2 linked regions of the Drosophila melanogaster genome follow. The protein of the gene in region 2 purifies or fractionates together with the protein of the main gene of each other region. This does not show direct contact. Each region holds a gene or a part of one and is shown on either strand. Other genes may lie near its edges.

Region 1 (3,755 bases), on a different chromosome or scaffold from region 2:
CCGGAGTACTATCTGGAGGATTACCTGGAGGTCTGTCGCTCTGGGAACTACGAGCGCCTGGAGCAGTTCGTGCGGGAGATTGGCTTCTCCGCCTACAGCGTTGGCCAAATGATGGAACAGTTCGTCGAGTTCATTGTCCATCATCCGGGGCTGAATGATCCGCAAAAGGCCACGATCTGCGATAAGCTGGGCGTACGTACTGACTGCATAGATAGATATGATTCCTCTTGTTTATTGCTGCCTTTATCCCACAGGAATGCTGCTTTCGACTGCAGGACGGCGGCTCCGAGTATCTGCAGATCATGGACCTTGGCTGCTGCATCATCTTAGCTTTAAAGTAATCTCATCCCACTCAGCACATTCATTACATGTACTTTATCCGCGACTGGAGTCTAAAATAAATGTTATATTTAATATGAAAATCTGGTAGTTGTATTTGTGTATAAAACGTAGATTTCATAATGATTAACGGGCGAATCTATACTAAGGTTTTTGGGACTTCACATTCGAGTTGAAATTTAGACCCCCAGTTCGCTCAACCAAATGCAAGTGCTTTGGTCTGGTTTAAGAATATTAATTTAAGGTAAATGATGTCGTTTCGCTAGTTGGTCACAAACTCAAACTCCTCCTCCTCACGTTCCCGCTTGACGGCCACTCCAACGCCAGATGATCCTCCTCCTCCTCCTCCTCCGCTGGCACTTCCTGCTCCCGAACCGGATGCGCCAGCGATGCTGCCCACGGCCGCCGCATCGCTGTCCACCTCCATCTTGAGATCTCCGCCGGCGCCGGTGCTCTCGCTCTTAACCTCCTGACCACCGCCGCCCCCAGATCCGCCGGAGCTGCCCACCGTTTTCGTTGTCGTAGTGGTGGTAAACTTGATGACGGGCTTGGGAATGGTCACCACCTGCTGCTTGGCCACCACGGAGTGTGGCCTCTTCGGACCATTGGCGCTGGAGACGGGCTTAACGACGGTCTTCAGTGGACGGCCCTCCACCGCCGACTTGGTCATTTTCTTGGGCTGATTAGTGGCCCGCAGTTTGTAGTTGACGCCGGTGAGACAGTAGCGGTCGGGCGGCAGTCGGAGACCGCAGTGCGGCTTAATGGGTGGCAGGGGCATGCTGTTGCGCACGTCGGCCACCTTGGCTAGAACGTGGCGCTCCAACGGCCCGGTGAAGCTCTTGTCCAGCGTAACCTCGGTGGCCAGACGCACGTCGTCCAAGTCGATGGTCTTCTTGCGCGCATGGTTGGCGTACACCTTGGCGTCGTCCAGAATGCAGGTTACATAGCCTGCAATGCAAGACAGCATTTAGGAAAATGATGTGGGAAAAGCAAGGCATTAATCGCCGCTTACGGAAGGTGAACTCCAGCAGTTGGTTGACCACGCGCGGCTCGTACTCCTGGACATTCAGCTCCTTCAGGATGGACATGATCACCTGCGCGTCCTTCGGCACGTGCTTGATTTGGGCACTGATCTTGGCCTTATCGGACTTCTCTGCGCTCATACTTCTATAGTTATTATGTTTACGTCGGCTTTGCTGCAAGAAGATTGTTTATTCCATTGAAATTGTGCACGTACATATATACGGGTCTATCGGAAATCGGTGAGCTTATGCGATACTATCGATGCAGACGTCTAGTGTGGAAAACGCCGCTGGACTGCAGGGTGGCAACTCTGGCTCTGGCCATTTAAAAAAAACGGCTAAATTAGAAATCGATTTTTAAATGTAGGAACAAATCTAATGAAGCTTATCCAAAATATTAAACAATAAGCATATTTCTACCAGATCACATAACACCACATTGGCATAATAGGTGGACCAATAGGTGGAATATTAACTATCAGAAACAACAATTTCAAAATATTTCGGAATTAACGAAACGAGAACAAATGGCAGAGTGAAATGAAGACTACAATTCTGTTTAGTTTTAATAAAGTCAAAAATTTCTCTCACACGACTTGATAAGCTTATTAACAAAACTTGAATACCCCAGTTGTGGAAAAACAAAAACGAAGTCCCGCCAAAAGGAGCTAAAAACTGTTAAATTAACGTAAGAAACTTTTATTCATTAAACGTACAGCTCTACATACAATATGCACTATACTTGGAAGACAATTGAAGCTTGTCGCGCATTATTACATTCATATACATTGTACAATGAAACTTTTAGCTTAGATACATACACATATTTCTTTATTATTATTTTAGATACGCTACATGTACGTTACGTGCTACAATAAATTAACTCTTTATTGTTCCGTCTTTAAATCGCCATCTCGCCGTGGTCAACATATAAAACCATCCATCCATTCGTCTCTCTTAGATATTTGCAAAATAACGCGCAAACAATTCGCGCACCAAAAACTTGGACGCAACTTTGACTCAAGTCCCACGATCAGTTATACATACAAGCATATATATATATACTATATAGCTCTATATAGACTACAAACTAGATTCTTGTCGAAAAAAAAAATTGATGCTTTAAGTAATATTTTCATTGTCAGAATGTATGCGTTTTAAGATTTCGTTAGCGCTTGCTCTATTTTGATTACTGGGGAGGGCTACCAGGTTCCCTCCTGGTCATGATTTGTGATCTCTATGTCTCTATAACTCAATTGCAGCTGCTGGCTGAAGCTGGCTGGCCCCTTCGGGTGTGCCTCTAGTAGTTGTAGGGTCCGTACTGCGAGCCATGATAGTAAGGTCCTGGGTAGATCTGCGGCTGGGCGTAGTTGGCATAAGGGGGATAGGGTGGCTGCTTCTGCGAGTAAACTGGAAATGGAAACCGAAAATTAGTCATTAGTTATATTAGAGGGTCAGCACGATGGACATACCTGGCATCAGGTACTGCAGGTTCAGCTGCTCCTCCTTCTCCCGCTCGTTGCGCAGGCAAACGGCCGCGCCGGAGAGCAGAATGGACGCCAGGAGACAGGTTCCGATTCCTGCCCAGGCCACGATGTACGACCAGTCGTAGGCGATCTTCGTGTTGTCGCGCAGGACCTAATAAATCAAGATATTCATCATTAGTTAATCCACATACATGCCCAATGCAGCTGGTGTACATACCGTGTTCCACTGCTGGAAGTAATCCTCGCCCACGACCTTCTCCTTCTCAAAGAACTCGACGGTGTGCCAGAGTCCCATGGCGCCGGCGGCCAGGAGACAGGTGACTAGCAGCAGTATCGAGGTGGCTGTGATGGCGCCCGACGACCGCTTCCAGCAGCCGGATAATCCGGTCCAGAACGCACAGAAGATGGTCACAAAGCTGATGATGAACAGAGCGATGCAGGAGCGGGCCAAATGGAGACGCGATGTGGCGTCCTCGTTGGCGATCTTCTCGTCCTCCGCCTGCGGGAAGTAGTCGATGTTCGAGCAGTGTGTCTCGATCGGTGACAAATAGGTGGGCACTGCGCGACGGGAATGGAAATGGATTAAATAACTCCCATGTGATGTAAAATGCAGCATTACTCACCCGCTGAAACTGGCGGCCGCTCCTTGGGATAGCAGATCCGGAACAAGCCTCGTGTCCTCGTGTAGTAATAGTACTTCACGTTCATGTTGTGCAACAACGACTCCGCATCCGAGTGCTTGGCGGCAAAGGACTGAAATCGAAAGGATAGTCCATATTAGCTAAGCTCAATTGCAGTTCAAAGTTATGGTTACAAGTGTTTGAAACTATCCTATCTTAGCTCTTAGCTCTGGCCCTACCCATACTTGTCTTAATAGCCACACATTTATTTATAGCCCGCGGATTAA
Region 2 (3,755 bases):
TACTATCCGATTCGAGCGAGGAATTGAGGGGGTTTTGATTGGGGATCAGATTTGGACGAAGTGATACGCCCGAGTTGCGATCGCCTAGCGCCCGAAGAGTGGGTTTAGCTTTAATATGGATACCTGATTGATGGTCTTGGTCATGGTTACGATTCCTGCTGGTGCACTTGAGACTAGACCCGCCGGCAGGGTGACAGCATGGTGGTTGGATTTAATAACTAGGGTTTGTGTTTGGGTGGCACCTACGGATTGCGTCTGCTGTTGCTGCTGTTGTTGCTGTTGCGACTGCTGCTGCTGTTGGACATGATGCACCTGCTGAAGTCCCTGATGCTGACCACCGATCCCCGCCTGGATCGTCTTGATGGTGGTGGTATTCGGTAGCTGGGCCGTGGAGATGACCGCGCCGGGATTGCCGGCTATGCTGATGGTGCCATTGGGCAGCGGCTGGCTGGTGAAGGTGATGCGATTGCCGGCAGCTGTCTGGCTGGTGTTCATCGTGCTGTGTGGTGTTTATGTTATTGGCGAGTGTGTTTCTCCTATTCCACTGACTTCTGTGTGTTGGTGTGGGCGAGCGATCCTGTTCCGATCAACTAGTTGCGCACATCCTGTGTTGGTGTTGGCGGAGTTGTTGCATGCTGTGCGCTCCAGAAGCGAACTGCAATGCAAGGGGAGGCGCTTTTAGTATTTATACAAGATTCGGCTCGAGGCGGTGGAGAAACAGGTAGGCGGTGGAGGTGCTACCTGACCGCCGGCTACCTGGCGGCCGTGCGCCATAAACCAGATGCTGCGTACACCTGGATGCCGCGCACAGGTAATCGCATTCACCTTGGCCAAAAAAGCGGGTGCTCCGCTGAATTGGTGCTGCGCTGGCTCACTCGCACTCGCCTTTGCCGTCACTGTCGTCGGCCTTTCTCCTGGCGCATCCGTTGCAGTCGTTGTCGCGTGTGTGTTATCTCGCTAATTCGCTGCCTTTTGTTTGCGCCGCTAAGCCTTTCTACACTTTTCCCGATCGGCGGGTTTTCCTGCGCACACACACACTCGCGCGTGCTCGCACGGACTGATTGTTGAGCACTGGAAGAATGCTTTATTTTGATTATTTTGATGTACAAAAAATTTGGCAGCGACGGTGCCAGAACGCCGCCATTTTCACGAATGCGCGTGCAAAGCGAAAATCGAGGCTGGTGGACGTTGCCAGATAGCGTGCGAAAAACACGTAACCAACGATCTGGCAATGCCGCTCGTTTATGCGGGTGGCGAGTGCGCAATATTCGTGAATGCACTAAATTTAAAAAAAAGTTCAACTCGAAAGTGGAGCACTTAATAATTGATGATTTCTATTAGGAAAAATTCATATTTTTCGAAAATCCGCATAAAAATATTTAAAACAAAAAGAAAACAAATGCATCTTGTACATGTCTCCAGTGGCAATATGGAGCATCGTGCCAGCCGTAGTATTAGTAATTTCTACTTTAGTGGCCAGCGGGTGGTGGCATAAACCCACGTCCGTGTCTGTGCGACTGTGTGCGTGTGTTTCAGTATAGGTTTTGTACAGCCTGCAATGTCGGGGGAAATTTTCTGGGCCCTGTGGCAGATGCACTCACTTCAATTCATTTTGCGTTCAAACTCGGTGCACTGGGGCGCATTTTAAACGATTTCCCGTTGCGTTTCTCTGGCGATTTAGCCGAAAACCGAGTAAATATTGTTTACGGACCGCCGAGGTACGGACGAGTTGTGCAGTGTGACCGTTGGCGACAATATCGTCGTGTTAAACGCGATACCGAATTAAAATACTAGAAAAGAAGTAGTGACTTGGATATCATGTCGATTTTTTATAGCCTTGTTGCGTACATTTTCAAAACCAAAAACGTTTGCTGGCATTTTGATGCCATCGGATTTTAGCCGCATACCAAATTAATTATATGCTCATTAGTTTTTATATGGGTAATAAGCCACAATTTTTAAGGATCAAAATAATTTATTTTAATACATTCGAATACGATACATTTTAAATCCTTTGAACTATTATTAGAGTACTGTTTAAAGCTGAATGTTAGGTAATTGAATAAATGAAGAATACGCTCAAAAATTAGAAACTACTAAAACTATTATTAGAGTACTGTTTAAAGCTGAATGTTAGGTAATTACAGAATTGAAGAAAATGCTCAAAAATGTTATTATTTTTTTATATTTAAACGCTATTTGCTCATATACTTAAATCATATATATATTCAAACGAAGGAGTAGTACTTTGTAACGGTCAAACAATCGATAGTTCCACTTTGATACCGAACTACATGCCCCACCACCAACGTGATGGTATTTTTGTTAGTTTTCGGTATCTTTGAAATGCTAAACTTCAGCACAACGGGCAAAATAATTCTGTAGAGCGAGTTAAATACATATCGTACAAATAGCGGTCTTAATAAAATAGACCATACCAATTTTAATATTAAACAAATTCCGTTAAATAAGCAACATATATAGTGTAATGGTATATTTTCCAAAAACTTCCAAAAATAAAAAGTGGTATTTGTTTCAAGTCGGGCTCAACATAGTATGATTATCCGATTACGCTGCGGTCACACTAGTACCGGCCCATAGAGACGGAAGAAAAATTTTATTTAACCGATTTCAGGTAATTGCCATTTGCATTAACTGTTTTTTAACCATGCACAACTAGGGCTAAAATGCCGTTGGAAAAGAGATCGCCACGTGTGCTCACTCGCATGTGGGCCAGACACGCGAAAAGTGCGTCCAAAGCTGCGGGGTAAAAATCGATAGAGAAAAGCAGATGAAAAACGGATGGGAAAGTGGTGGGGGGAGCTCCTTTCTCAACATGACGTGACTAAGACCACTTTGCTTTTACAGCTATAAACAGGCTATTACTCGGAAAGCACATATAAATTCCCGAATAAATCCGCATTCGAAGTCCCATAAATATTGACAGTCAGTCGGATAGGACAGCTAATGTAAGTAGAGCACTTGGTGGGGATGGGGGCAGGTCCAAAATGCAAATGCAAATGCCAATGGTAAACTAGTAAACCGCAGACAGATTGTCAAACAAATTCGATTTTCGTAATTGCAGCGCACCGCGACAATGGCCAACAACAACTACGCCGGGTTTAACTACGGCGGCACCCAGTACAATACGGGCCAAGTCTCGTACCCGGCGGTAACCAATGCCACCTACGCGAATGCGGCCGCCTATCAGAATGCCGCTGTGGCCGCCGGACAGGGTGGTTATGGCGGAGCAGCAGGAGCGGGCGCTGGCGCCACCTCTGGCCCTGGGGCGGGGGGTTATGGTGGCTACGGCGACTATCGAAGTGCCATGCAATACGACGCCACCAAGACATTCTATCAGCAGTCGCCGGCCAGCTACAACGCCTCCGGTTCGACAGCCTCGGTCAGCAAGACGCACTACTCGGCTCCGCCAGTCAAGAATCAGGTCAAGGGCAAGATGGACAAGTCGAACGGTGGTCCCAAGCCCCCTAGTTCGGCTCCTCCGGCGGGCAACAATTACAGTGGCTATGATACAGCACTCTACAATGCGGCAAGCATGTATGTGGCCCAACAGCATCAGGGCAATCCAAACCAAAAACCAAATGGCGGCGCCAATAACTGGTATCAGCGTAAGATGGGAGCCACCATACCAGGAGCAACGGCCATAAGGGGTATGCGTCCGAAGGCACCTCCACGTCCCCAGCAGCTGCACTACTGCGAAGTGTGCAAAATCTCGTGCGCCGGGCCGCAGACTT

What was found. The genes of interacting proteins can lie anywhere in the genome.
Region 1: the proteins of Taf4 (region 2) and Taf9 purify together in Drosophila melanogaster (affinity purification with western blotting; 4 studies listed by BioGRID, with this or other methods). This does not show direct contact.

Annotation. Positions count from the first base shown.
Region 1 is NC_004354.4:17,840,006-17,843,760, reverse strand, and holds Taf9 (TBP-associated factor 9), read right to left. Parts: upstream 1,601-3,755; 5' UTR 1,503-1,600; coding exon 1,352-1,502; intron 1,288-1,351; coding exon 602-1,287; 3' UTR 413-601; downstream 1-412. Other genes in the region: CG8142 (uncharacterized protein), read left to right, coding at 1-192, 255-341; CG6398 (uncharacterized protein), read right to left, coding at 2,662-2,771, 2,834-2,999, 3,066-3,406, 3,472-3,601. UniProt on the Drosophila melanogaster protein: TFIID is a multimeric protein complex that plays a central role in mediating promoter responses to various activators and repressors.
Region 2 is NT_037436.4:16,111,212-16,114,966, reverse strand, and holds the start of Taf4 (TBP-associated factor 4), read right to left. Parts: upstream 1,756-3,755; 5' UTR 1,602-1,755; intron 1,178-1,601; exon of another isoform or gene 1,083-1,177; 5' UTR 826-1,082; intron 660-825; exon of another isoform or gene 656-659; 5' UTR 496-655; coding exon 124-495; intron 1-123. Other genes in the region: Zn72D (Zinc-finger protein at 72D), read left to right, coding at 3,098-3,755. UniProt on the Drosophila melanogaster protein: TFIID is a multimeric protein complex that plays a central role in mediating promoter responses to various activators and repressors.